Linked DNA regions of Saccharomyces cerevisiae S288C. The main gene of each other region encodes a partner of the protein of the gene in region 2 in a complex. Each region holds a gene or a part of one and is shown on either strand. Other genes may lie near its edges. The genes, in order: LSB3, SLA1 and END3. A codon is read from its position in the direction of its gene.

The links.
Region 1: the proteins of SLA1 (region 2) and LSB3 are in contact, whole or in part, in a crystal structure (PDB 1SSH), measured with the Saccharomyces cerevisiae proteins. Residues at the interface, in NP_009546.1 of Saccharomyces cerevisiae: Pro193 (codon at 3,659), Pro194 (codon at 3,656), Pro195 (codon at 3,653), Ala196 (codon at 3,650), Met197 (codon at 3,647), Pro198 (codon at 3,644), Ala199 (codon at 3,641), Arg200 (codon at 3,638), Pro201 (codon at 3,635); in NP_219497.4 of Saccharomyces cerevisiae: Tyr409 (codon at 3,371), Phe411 (codon at 3,377), Glu414 (codon at 3,386), Glu415 (codon at 3,389), Asp418 (codon at 3,398), Gln436 (codon at 3,452), Asn437 (codon at 3,455), Asp438 (codon at 3,458), Trp439 (codon at 3,461), Ile450 (codon at 3,494), Pro452 (codon at 3,500), Asn454 (codon at 3,506), Tyr455 (codon at 3,509).
Region 3: SLA1 (region 2) and END3 share a complex: the UniProt entries of both Saccharomyces cerevisiae proteins name them as parts of the PAN1 actin cytoskeleton-regulatory complex.

The regions. Positions count from the first base shown.
Region 1 is NC_001138.5:201,447-205,485, reverse strand, and holds LSB3 (Lsb3p), read left to right. Parts: upstream 1-2,052; coding exon 2,053-2,099; intron 2,100-2,193; coding exon 2,194-3,526; downstream 3,527-4,039. Other genes in the region: HIS2 (histidinol-phosphatase), read left to right, coding at 736-1,743; PES4 (Pes4p), read right to left, coding at 3,777-4,039.
Region 2 is NC_001134.8:212,132-218,345, forward strand, and holds SLA1 (cytoskeletal protein-binding protein SLA1), read right to left. Parts: upstream 4,236-6,214; coding exon 501-4,235; downstream 1-500. Other genes in the region: HIR1 (Hir1p), read left to right, coding at 1-44; LDB7 (Ldb7p), read right to left, coding at 4,456-4,998; drug-responsive transcription factor PDR3, read left to right, coding at 5,339-6,214. UniProt on the Saccharomyces cerevisiae protein: Component of the PAN1 actin cytoskeleton-regulatory complex required for the internalization of endosomes during actin-coupled endocytosis. The complex links the site of endocytosis to the cell membrane-associated actin cytoskeleton.
Region 3 is NC_001146.8:469,449-472,822, forward strand, and holds END3 (End3p), read right to left. Parts: upstream 1,655-3,374; coding exon 605-1,654; downstream 1-604. Other genes in the region: MKT1 (Mkt1p), read left to right, coding at 1-175; Ca(2+)-binding ATP:ADP antiporter SAL1, read left to right, coding at 1,929-3,374. UniProt on the Saccharomyces cerevisiae protein: Component of the PAN1 actin cytoskeleton-regulatory complex required for the internalization of endosomes during actin-coupled endocytosis. The complex links the site of endocytosis to the cell membrane-associated actin cytoskeleton.

The DNA.
Region 1 (4,039 bases), on a different chromosome or scaffold from region 2:
TACTAATATATCATTATATGGGTATAAGAAGATGGCATAAAAGTTGAGAAACAACCATCGGATTTAATGGAGGCTGAAATGCAAGGATTGGTAATGGAATAGGATAATGAATGACAGCATATAAAATGGAGGAAGAGGTGATAATATTATTACGTAGAATTCTCTTTTTTGGATTCAGGATCAGTGAGGACAGCTTCTAGTATATTCTGCATACCTAAATGCTATTCTTTTTTTTATCAATTTGATTTACTAAATGCTATTTATCCCAAATAATCCATATAAGATTTTAATCTAGATGGAGGGTAAAAGCGCGGAAACATGAGTGTAAACTGATTGTGCAGATATTTACACATTTGAGTAGCTCGTCAAGGGCAATCAAGCTTTCAATCTTGCCGGTTTCATACATGTTGATAAGCTAATGAAACTACTAATGTCTTGCTGTAAAGTAAACCTGTATCATTTCTGTTTGGAAGATTTCAACAAACGTTCGGGCGTGTGGCGTAGTCGGTAGCGCGCTCCCTTAGCATGGGAGAGGTCTCCGGTTCGATTCCGGACTCGTCCATTTAAATTTTTTTATTTTTTTTGTCAAATCTCTCTATCTATAGAGATAATCTCTATCAACTCAAATGATACTGGATATTATATGTACATTTTCCATTTCCCGTACAATCTTTCCCTTTCAAACACATTTTAGTACTTCTTGATACGTACAATTCAGTAAAAATCCTCGAGGTCATGCACTCACACCATTCACACTCCGGTGACTATAGTGCCCACGGTACGGACCCTTTGGATTCCGTGGTCGATCAAGTGGTCAACCTCAACTTTCACACGTACTGTTTGACAGAGCACATACCAAGAATTGAGGCCAAGTTTATATACCCCGAAGAGCAGTCATTGGGCAAGAATCCTGAGGAAGTCATAACCAAGCTAGAAACATCGTTCAAGAATTTCATGAGTCATGCGCAAGAAATCAAGACTCGTTATGCTGATAGACCCGATGTGCGGACTAAATTCATTATAGGAATGGAGATCGAAAGTTGTGACATGGCTCATATCGAATATGCAAAGCGACTCATGAAGGAGAATAATGATATTTTGAAGTTTTGTGTGGGTTCGGTCCATCACGTCAACGGGATCCCTATTGATTTCGACCAACAACAATGGTACAATTCATTGCATTCCTTCAATGATAATTTGAAACATTTTCTCCTGTCTTACTTCCAATCACAGTACGAAATGCTGATCAATATTAAACCGTTGGTCGTGGGTCACTTCGACCTTTACAAATTATTTTTGCCCAATGACATGCTAGTAAACCAGAAATCGGGCAACTGCAACGAAGAAACCGGAGTTCCTGTAGCTTCACTGGACGTCATCAGTGAATGGCCAGAAATATACGATGCAGTTGTAAGAAATTTACAATTTATAGACTCCTATGGCGGCGCAATTGAAATCAATACGTCCGCATTAAGAAAGCGCCTCGAGGAGCCGTACCCCAGCAAAACCTTATGTAATCTGGTCAAGAAGCACTGTGGATCCAGATTTGTTCTAAGTGATGACGCACACGGCGTGGCGCAAGTGGGTGTGTGCTATGACAAGGTAAAGAAATACATAGTAGACGTGCTACAATTAGAGTATATTTGCTACCTTGAGGAAAGCCAATCACCAGAGAATCTGTTAACTGTAAAGAGATTACCCATTTCGCAATTCGTTAATGATCCCTTTTGGGCCAATATATAATCTGATTATCTTGAACTGGATGTACATAAAAAAAAACTGTCATATAAACTCATGTACAGCTGTGTAGAAGTGAATGATCTTTCCAAGAAAAAAATTTCACACTGAATTGATTGAATTGACTGCTCATTTTATATTGGGTGCCCAAATTGTCTTTCTTTATTGTTCGTTTAGTAGCAGCACCCTGTTTGCTCGCCGACTCGGCCGCATCTGGAAGTTCAACATGAAAGAGTATAAACTATCGAAGAAATCTAGAACGGCTTTGGATCACGGGTGGCAAAGAAATCAAAAACAAAAGCTGTATCACACGCAATGGGTATTAACAATCCTATTCCAAGGAGTTTAAAGAGTGAGACAAAGTATGTTTTATACGGGTTTGGCTGGGAAACCTTTAAAAAAGTTCTCCCTTAATTTGTTCATCATTTACTAACTAGTAATAAACAATTAATAAAGAAAAGCAGCGAAGATTTTGGCTAGTTTTGTCAAACCAAACCAAGTTTTTGGTGCGGACCAAGTCATTCCTCCAGACGTTTTGAAAAGAGCTAAAGGGTTGGCTATCATAACGATCTTAAAAGCAGGTTTTCTATTTTCAGGTAGAGCTGGTTCTGGTGTGATTGTCGCAAGATTAAAGGATGGTACTTGGTCAGCTCCATCTGCCATTGCCATGGCAGGTGCTGGTGCCGGTGGGATGGTTGGTATAGAATTGACTGATTTTGTTTTCATTTTAAATACTCAGGATGCTGTTAAGTCGTTTTCTGAATTTGGGACCATCACGTTGGGTGGTAACGTCTCCGTTTCTGCTGGGCCTCTTGGTAGAAGTGCAGAAGCAGCTGCATCAGCCTCCGCCGGTGGTGTGGCTGCAGTTTTTGCCTATTCTAAGAGTAAAGGTCTATTTGCAGGGGTTTCTGTGGAAGGTTCGGCTATTATAGAAAGAAGAGAGGCTAACAGAAAATTTTATGGTGACAATTGTACCGCGAAAATGATTTTGTCTGGTAGGATAAGACCGCCTCCAGCAGTTGATCCATTGTTTCGTGTTTTAGAGTCCAGGGCGTTTAATTACAGACCCTCCAACGGTGGTCGTGGCAGTTTCGATGACGACGAAGACGATTACTATGACGACGACGATTACTATAATGACATTCCTAGTTCATTCAGTTCTACAGATGCTTCCTCCACTAGACCTAACACAAGATCCACAAGGAGAAGAGCCCAAAGCGGTTCTCGTTATACGTTCGACGATGATGATGACGATGATGATTATGGTACTGGCTATTCAAGGAATTCAAGACTGGCTCCTACCAACAGTGGCGGTAGTGGTGGTAAATTGGATGACCCATCTGGAGCTTCAAGTTATTATGCCAGCCACAGAAGATCAGGAACTGCTCAGTCAAGGGCTCGTTCTTCAAGAAATCGTTGGGCTGATGATGAATACGATGATTATGATGATGATTATGAATCCGGGTATAGACGCGGGAATGGAAGAGATAGGACAAAAGACCGTGAAGTCGATGACTTGTCGAACAGATTTTCTAAATCTAGAATCTCGTCCGCTTCAACACCGCAAACTAGTCAGGGCAGATTCACTGCTCCAACATCCCCATCCACGTCTTCTCCAAAGGCCGTGGCATTATATAGCTTTGCAGGAGAAGAGTCCGGAGATTTACCATTCAGAAAGGGTGACGTGATCACAATTTTGAAAAAATCAGATTCTCAAAATGACTGGTGGACCGGAAGAGTCAACGGTAGAGAAGGTATATTCCCAGCAAATTACGTTGAACTAGTTTAAAAAATTTGAAGGAGAGTAAAGAATACGAGAAACGTTATTGATTTACACTTATACCTTTTGCCTTACAGTTTATCAGCACTCGGACCTAAATACATATCATATAGCAGACGGCGTCCCTCTGTCTATCCTTTTAAGAATTTTTTCCATAATAATAATTTTTAATAATATCTAAATATAACGAAAAAGATTGAATTAGTGTAAATAAAAAAAATAAATAAGGAAAACTCTAGCTAAATTAACAAAGAGACATTCATCTTTTAAATCCTAACGAGCTTGCAGCCTCTTCAATTTGTTTTTGCAATACACCTTCATGATATGGACTACTATTTAGCAACGATAAAAATTTGTCCAATATTAACACATCGCGATTCCAATAAGTGTCGAATATATACTCAGCTATTCCGTGCACATTTTCGTCTCTAGTGGCACTTGGAAATCTCATGAAATCTATACCTCTTCTTACTTGCTTTTCGAATGTTTCCAAAACTTTCTTATTGAAATTTTTATTCTTTA
Region 2 (6,214 bases):
ATAAATGGACTAAGGATCTGGGTTGTTGGTCGTTATATAAATAATAAGCTTATACCCCTTCCTTTGGACAAGTTTTTTCCCTCATAATTACGTCTATATTTTATAAATATCATTGTAGTATTCGCATTGTTTAAGTGGTTACCATTTGAAACGACTCATACAGACAAGCGGTTACAGATGAAGCTTTCTGAAGGCACAGATCAGAAGTATTTTAATGTCGGTTGTCTATTAGTGGAACCAAAGTGACTACACACCTCCTCTGTCTGGAAGAAATAAATTCTTAGGGTCGACTCCACCATTTCAACTTTAGTATAATATGACAATAAAACATTATTGGGACTGAGAACGATTATATTAAAATTAGTAAAATACATACATAACTACTTATAAAAAAAAAAAGAGAAATTTGCCATTTTCACGAGTATAAGCACAGATTGTACGAAACTATTTCATATAGCTTGTTTTAGTTATTATCCTATAAAATCTTAAAATACATTAATCTAGAATCCAAACGGATTTGATGCAGTAGCATTGAATATGTTGGCTTGCCTTGATTGTTGAGGTCCATTACCAAACCCAAATCCAGTAGGTTGGTTCTGTAATGCTTGTTGTTGTGGTTGTTGCATAGCACCCCCAGTGTTAAAAGTGTTCATCATCTGTGGTTGTTGCATAATTCCATCGGTGTTGAATGTGTTCATCATCTGTGGTTGTTGCATAGCACCACCAGTATTGAAAGTAGTCATCATTTGGAGCTCTTGCATAACACCACCAGTATTGAAGGTATTCATCGTTTGTGGTTGCTGTTGTTGAAGAACGCCCCCTGTACTTAAAGTATTCATGGCTCCACCAGTGAACTGGTTCTGGTTTAATGGCGCAATACCTCCGGTTTTTTGTAAAGTCAAACCGAATTGGGATTGCGGCCGGAACCCGCCAGTGTTTTGAGCTTGAGAGCTGAACGAAGTCTGGGGAATCATGGCGCCTCCAGTATTAAATGTATTCAAAGCACCACCAGTTCTCTGCAAAGGCATCATTGCTCCCCCTGTAACTTGTGGTAAAGCATTGAAGGACGTTTGAGGCATCATTGCTCCTCCAGTAATTTGTGGTACAGCATTGAAGGATGTTTGAGGCATCATGGCACTCCCTGTATTTTGAGGTTGGGTCATCATTGCACCACCTGTTAATTGCTGTGAAACGCCAAATGATGTTTGTGGAATCATAGTGCCGCCTGTTCTTTGTACAGTTGGCATTGAGACACCAGTATTAGCTGAAATTAATCCATTAGCAGTTTTTTGGACAGGTAATATTGAACCTGTTGGAAGTTGTTGTTGCCCCTGAACATTGAATGAAGTTTGCGGGAATTGCGCACCTCCTGTGGTGGCAATTGGTATTAGGCCACCTCCAGTTTTTTGCAGAGGTAAGACGGTAGCTGCTGCGCCGAACGTAGTTTGTGGCATCATTGCGCCGCCAGTGTTAGAGATAGGAATTAACCCATTTCCTGTCTTTTGAACAGGTAGGATACCACCAGTAACTTGCGATTGCATACCAAAAGTTGTTTGTGGTACAACGAAGCCGCCGGTTCTTTGCATAGGCAGCATATCGCCCCCAGTAATCATTGGCATCATCACAAAGCCAGTAGATAAGGGTAAGATATTGTTGCCACCGGTTTTGAATGGATCCAATGGAGCGGGAGCAGATGAAACCGGAGCAGATGAAACCGGAGCAGCAGGAACAGTGGTGCCGCCAGTTTTCACGGGTTCCAAATCTTTTAGGTTTGGTTCAGGTGTCGAGGCAGCTGCCTTTTTAGGTTCTAAAGGTTGCAAGTCTAATAAATCCTGCATGGAACCAGTAAATTCTGATTTCTTAGAGAGTAAATTAGATTCAGACTTAGAAGCCGGTTTAACAGTCCAAGCATCATCTGTCTCAGCTGATGTGGAAGGAGCTGTTTGAGCAGGACTTGTTGTTTGTGGCAACAATTGCTGAGGCAGTGAGGTTTCCGGACTTGTAGCAACGTTCAATGAACCATCAGGTTGTGAAAACATATTTCCAGTGGCATTTGTAGGAATTGATGCAATATTTTCTCTTCCAAATTTCTTGTCAAGATGTTTCATTACTCTAACAATATCACCTTCGCGCAGACCCAAGGTTCTTAACATTGAGTTATTGATGTCAGGCATCATGTCTTCAGTAAGCTGTTCTCTATCAAAATTTATTGTATATCTTTGACAATTGCTTACATCAACGCCGCAATTCAAGAAAAATTCGAACCAATCATATTTGTTACTGGAGTTGTTGTTATTGCTGCTTTCGGCTGGTGGTACGGACGTCGTATTTGGAACGGAGGTAGTAGAGGTTGGTCTTGGTGGTTTTATTGGAGGCAATTCCTTTTCTTGCAACCTTGATCTTTCTTCATCTAGGAGTTCTCTGGCTTTTTTCAATTCGTATAATTCACGCTCTTTCAATCTCCTATCGCGTTCTTTTTCCTCCTGCTCCTTCAATCTCCTTCTTCTTTCTCTTTCAGAGTCTCTTGAATCAGTGCCACGGGAACTAGACCCATCATTCGCCTTAAATTTCTCTAAGGAGAACCCAGTAATTTTTTCCACATACGCTAAATCTTCATTGGATAGTTTATCAGCGGCGACAGCAATCTTGACACCATTAGCCTTGTGCAAGTGGATTTTCCCCTTAGCACATCCAATGAATTCTGCATCCACTTTGAAAGTACCACTTCTATCAACCCATAGACGCGATTTTTTTGGATTGGGGAAATCTTTGGTCGCCGAAGAGTTTTTTTTGTGAGAGGACAATGAACTTTTTCTTGACCTTTTACCGGCAGCACTACCTACAACATCGTTTTGTAGTTCATCATCTTTCCAACTGGCATTGGCATTGGATTTAGATCTTGATCTAGATCTCGACCTAGATGGAGATTTGGTGAAGTTTTTCTTGATAGACTTGATGATACCGCTTGCTGTAGATTCAGTATGTTTTTTGTCACGAACAGGCTCAATAAACTGTGCAGGAACGAGACCGCTTTTCCCTGAATCAACCAGTTGGCACATCCACCAGTCCTTAGATTTTTTATCATCTAAAATGTAGACTTTATCGCCTGATTTTATGGTTAATTCGTCCTGTGATTCAGCCATGAAGTCATATTGAACAATACCTCTCTTTTTGGATTTGGAAGCCATTTCGACTTCTCTCAACCCAGGATCACGGGAAGCACCTTTATATTCACCAATAATGTTCATGATCTCTTCACATGTGGTGGTATTACCAGTGTGTAATTCAAGGCTTCTATATGGATCAACAAATTCCAAGAACATGTGTTTCTTTTCGTTATCATAAGAGACCAATTTATCAATTGACCACTCATGAGGAGTCCCCTTTTGGGGTATGAAGTTTATCTTGTTGTTACCGATTGATAGCTTGGCCTTCTTCTTTTTCCTTCCCTCGATTTCGGTAACGTTCCAAGAGTGATACTCTGTATTGTATTCGTGATTTCCAACGTTGTTGCTGTTGCTGTTGTAATAGTAATCATCCTCTTCATCGTCATTATCGTTATCGCTGTATGATAGTCTTGTACGAGATCGAACAGCCGCAGCGGTGGCATCAGTAGTTTCGGTAGTAGCCGTTGGTCTTGCAGGCATGGCAGGAGGAGGGCCCTCTTCATCCTCATCTGGAGCTTGGTCTTCTTTACTTTGCATCATACGAGCTCTATCATTGTGTTGAGGAGGTGGTAAAAAGTTGGTGGGTAGTACGGCAGCAGAAGCAGGAGCGGCTGCAGGAGTAGCTGCAGGAGCTTCAGCGGCAGCGGGAGCCTGTTCCTGCTTGGAAGTGGACCCATTCTCTGGTTCGACGTAATTGCCTGGAATGAAGCCGAATTCATTGGAAACGGTAGACTTAACCAACAGCCAATCAGCATCTTTATCATCGAATACATCAAAAACGTCATTTTCATGAAACGTCAATTCTTCATCAGCATTTTGCACCTGTTCATAATCATAAATGGCTCTTACCTTCTTCAAAACAGGAGCTTCTTCAATGTAAGTGGAGGGCACTAGACCCACCGGTTCTTCGCTATCGGAACCAATGACTCTTTTCTTTACTGTCCACCAATCGTCAATGTCTGACTTCTGTAAGAGGTACAACAGATCGTCTTCTTGGATGGCCAGTTCTTCTGGTGTCTGCGGCTCATAGGCATAGACGGCCCTATAGATGCCCAGAAACACAGTCATACTCTAGCTCTTTTGTATATAACACACTCTGTCGCCTTGGCTATGTTACACTATCCCTTCTTTTAGGATTGCAATAGATATACATAGTATATATGCGCTAAATATTCGTTCTGTTTTCGTCTGATGTATCTCGATTTCGCATGAGTGGAAGGAAGCCCCTTTTAGGAATCGTATAGTCACTTTCTACGAAGCAACATTCTACCTCTATCAATTACATGGTTTAATCTACGCAGGCATGTTCTCTAAGTTGAGACCGCCTATGGGAACCTATAAATCGTGATTGACACCGTTTGCATATTATCACTTTTCTTTTCCTTTTAGCCTCGCTATTCCTGGGGCTCTCTATGTGTGATTGGAAGGGTAGAGACAATTGTCCTGCGCCGGCAAGAAAAACATCGTGTGTCTCTAGAGCAGCTTTGCATTCTAATGTGCGGTGGAAATGGTGCGAAAAGTCGACACTTGACAGGGCTTCCAACTGCTGGCGTGGCACATAACTGCCCAGCAGTGAATGGCCTACTTCATACTCCACCTGTGCCGCATCGGCGAGCGACACTTTACCGCCTAGGTAACCATGTACAGCTACTCTTTTGGGCTTGGATACCTTCGCTTTACTATTCTCACTGCCCTCTATGCCCTTGTCGGTAGCATGAGATTGTTGCGTAAGCTGTTGAAGCTCAGTCGCACTGAACACTACCTGGGATGACTTTTCCAGCGCTGAAAGCCCTGCGAGTACGTCATAGTATCCCATATTACTTCCACTCATTCTCAGCTATTCCTTGTTAACACCGTGCTCTGCTGCTTTCAGGTAAAGCCATTATTTCCACGACAACTGCATTTCACTTTTCATTTTCTTCCAGAACAACAGGCGCTGCCCTTGTTTCCGCGGAGCTGCCTCCTCTGCCGCTCGGACTTTCCGCGGAATAATAAATGAACTATCACAGTGAGTCTTAGAATGCAAATATGTAGATACTGTTATAGAATCTCATTAATGTATTTATGTATTTCCTGTGTTTGTGTCTTCAGGAGCCTTCCAAAGCAACCATAGGTCTTAGGCGACAACTGCATCAGCAGTTTTATTAATTTTTTCTTATTGCGTGACCGCAATGAAAGTGAAGAAATCAACTAGATCAAAAGTTTCGACAGCATGTGTCAATTGCAGAAAAAGGAAAATCAAATGCACAGGTAAATATCCATGTACCAACTGCATTTCTTACGATTGTACGTGTGTATTCCTAAAAAAACATTTACCGCAGAAGGAGGATAGTTCCCAGTCTTTGCCTACTACAGCTGTTGCTCCACCCTCTTCCCACGCCAATGTAGAGGCTTCAGCAGATGTACAGCATCTGGACACTGCGATTAAGCTAGATAATCAATATTACTTCAAACTGATGAACGACCTGATACAGACTCCAGTCTCTCCGAGTGCGACGCATGCTCCTGATACTTCCAATAATCCTACTAATGATAATAATATTCTCTTTAAAGATGATTCCAAATATCAAAATCAACTGGTTACGTATCAAAATATTCTGACAAATTTGTACGCTCTGCCGCCTTGTGATGACACTCAGCTCTTGATTGATAAAACGAAGTCGCAGTTGAATAACCTGATTAACAGTTGGAATCCCGAAATAAACTACCCCAAGCTTTCCAGTTTCTCTCCTCGCCCACAAAGATCGATAGAAACGTATCTTTTAACCAACAAGTATAGAAATAAAATACACATGACGAGGTTCTCCTTTTGGACAGACCAAATGGTTAAATCACAAAGTCCAGATTCATTTCTAGCCACCACTCCACTAGTAGATGAAGTATTTGGTCTTTTCTCTCCAATACAGGCTTTTTCACTAAGAGGTATAGGATATTTAATTAAAAAAAATATCGAAAACACGGGTTCATCGATGTTAATAGATACAAAGGAAACTATTTATCTAATATTAAGATTGTTTGATTTGTGTTATGAACATTTGATCCAAGGT
Region 3 (3,374 bases), on a different chromosome or scaffold from region 2:
CAACACTTACAAATCCACACCAAATCTTGATGAACAGTTTGTCGAATCCCATAGATTTCTTCTTGAAATTTCAAAAGTCATGCAGGAGCTAAATGCTGCGAAATTAATCGATGAAAACGTGTTTAAATTATTCACTAAAGCAGTTGAGTTTACTACAACAGCTCTATCTAGCTGAAGCGTGAGAATGAGTATGATGGAAATAGTGGAACTATTTAAAAAGCACCCAATAAAGAAAGATAGTTACTGTAAAGAGGTATATTATCATTATTCAGAGGGTTCAAGTACCATCATCAAGATTTAACACAAGCACAGTGAATAGCAACAATTAAAGAAAAAACTAATCAAAATCACGGTAGAAATAGGAGAAAAAAAGTAAAACAGAAACTAAGTCACTGTTTCTTTATATGACATATTCTATTATATAAATATGTAAAGAACGCTGAACAGTAAAAATTTTATGAAATTCCGGCAGAGAAGAAAAGGAAAAAATAAGTATACACCACACCGTTACTGGATAGATTGAAGTTCAAATCAAAAAAGTTTACAAGTGAAATAACAAACAGTAAATATTACACATTCATGTACATAAAATTAATTATCGGTGTCAATTGATTTCTGCTTGTAATGCTTGCAATTCGTGTCTCTTATTGTTCAAGTAATTCTCCAATACTTCAACCTGCTGTTCAATGTTATCCAAGTCATCAGTTATCGACCTGATGTTAATCCGCTTAGAAAGTTTTGAGCCTCCTTGAGTTTTTTCACTCTTTTTGTAGTTCAAAAGGCCTTCTAATTGTTCTCTCATGTTCGCAACTTGATCATCTGTCAGAGAAGCATATTTTTGCTTTATACTGTCTTCATTTGAAAGCACGTTACTGCCACTGCTATCGGAACTCGAGTTCTGCCCATTGTCACGCAGATTGTCCACTTCGTTAGCTTCTTCTTTTCTCTTTGTAGGAGGTTGAGAGGACCGTAAATCATAGCTCAGTTGTTTTTTATTGCACACCTCCGCCAGAGAATTTGGTAAACTTGCTGGAATTTCAGCACCCAAATCATTTCTTTGTCTTAAACAGTGAATAAAATAAAAAGTAGGATCTCTATCAATTGATGGCAAATTTTGTGGGTTAATTAAACTCCAAACCTTATTTAAATCTGTCTTACTGATGTTAAAAAATTTTGTGGAAAGTTTTGTTGACAGTTCGTTGAATGTAATAGTACCATCGGTTAGTTTTGCACAGCTATTATAAATTTTTTCATATTGATTCAAATCATCTGGAGACATGTACCAATCTACTTTGATTTCCTTCTTTGGAGGCAAGTCTGCGTTTTCTATTTGCTTGCGCTTCTTTCTTTCTTTGATTAGATTCACCTTACTCCCTGGAATCAACCAATCAGGCAATTCATCTGGAACAGAGCTAATGTTTTTATTAACCATATCAAATATTAATCTCATGCAAATTACAAATTCCTCAAAGTCTAAATTGTCGTCGTCATCAATATCAGCTAAAAACCAAATCTTGTTTAGAACCGATGAATCTAATTTGGAATTATAAAGAATTGGTAAAACCTGGTCATGGTTTACCTTATTCTCTATTGGTTTCAAACCCGAGAAGATTTGCCAGTATTTTTTTATTTCAAATTGTTCCAACTTGGGCATTTTTCAGAGATCCCTGTTATCTTTACCGGCCTTTCCAATACCCACTAACTCTATGGTTATATTACAATCGTCTGATTATAACAGGCAATTAACCTTGTGTTTCTGACGTTCTTTTCATTCATTCTTGATATGTTAAATCATAGGGGTCCTACACGATCGTCAAATATGATATTTAAAAAGTAATAAATAAAAATGCAGCTTTTTTATTAGCGATGGGAAATATTGAATATTTGAAGGGGCAAATAACGTTTAATTCAATCGAATGACGGTCTAAATGCTGCTGAAAAATTGCGAGACGGACAAGCAGCGAGATATACGGTATGCGTGTTTGTTCAAGGAACTTGATGTTAAGGGAAATGGTCAAGTTACTCTAGATAATCTGATAAGTGCTTTTGAGAAGAACGACCATCCGCTCAAGGGAAATGATGAGGCAATCAAAATGCTGTTTACTGCAATGGATGTTAACAAGGACTCTGTAGTTGATTTAAGCGATTTCAAGAAGTATGCTTCCAATGCCGAATCTCAAATTTGGAACGGCTTCCAGAGGATAGATTTAGATCATGACGGTAAGATTGGCATTAACGAAATAAATAGGTATTTGTCAGACCTCGACAACCAGAGCATATGTAATAATGAACTTAATCATGAACTTTCAAATGAAAAGATGAACAAATTCTCGAGGTTTTTTGAATGGGCGTTTCCAAAGAGAAAAGCCAACATTGCGCTACGAGGCCAGGCTAGCCACAAAAAGAATACTGATAATGATCGGTCAAAGAAAACCACCGACTCAGATTTATACGTTACATATGATCAATGGAGAGACTTTTTGCTGCTGGTACCGAGAAAGCAGGGTTCGAGACTTCATACTGCTTATTCCTATTTTTACCTATTCAACGAAGATGTCGATCTGTCCTCAGAGGGAGATGTTACTCTCATAAACGATTTCATTCGCGGGTTCGGGTTTTTTATTGCTGGTGGTATTTCAGGTGTTATTTCAAGGACTTGTACCGCGCCATTTGATAGACTGAAAGTGTTTCTCATCGCAAGAACGGATCTATCCTCGATCTTGTTAAATTCAAAAACAGATCTCCTTGCTAAAAACCCCAATGCTGACATAAACAAGATATCATCTCCATTAGCAAAGGCTGTCAAAAGCTTATATAGGCAAGGCGGGATAAAGGCTTTTTATGTTGGGAACGGTTTAAACGTCATCAAAGTTTTTCCAGAAAGTTCGATAAAGTTTGGTTCTTTCGAGGTCACCAAGAAAATAATGACCAAATTAGAAGGCTGCCGCGACACAAAAGATCTTTCAAAGTTCTCTACTTACATTGCTGGTGGTTTAGCTGGTATGGCAGCTCAGTTTTCCGTTTATCCTATAGATACTTTGAAATTCAGGGTGCAGTGCGCTCCTTTGGACACAAAGTTGAAGGGGAATAATTTGCTCTTTCAGACTGCAAAAGATATGTTTCGAGAGGGGGGGGGTCAGATTATTTTACAGAGGTGTCACAGTCGGTATAGTGGGCATATTTCCCTATGCTGCATTAGATTTGGGGACTTTTTCTGCCTTAAAAAAATGGTATATTGCCAAACAGGCAAAGACCCTGAACCTACCACAAGATCAGGTCACTCTAAGCAACCTGGTTGTACTTCCAATGGGTGCATTCAGTGGAACTGTAGGAGCTTCTGTTGTTTATCCAATCAATCTTTTAAGAACAAGACT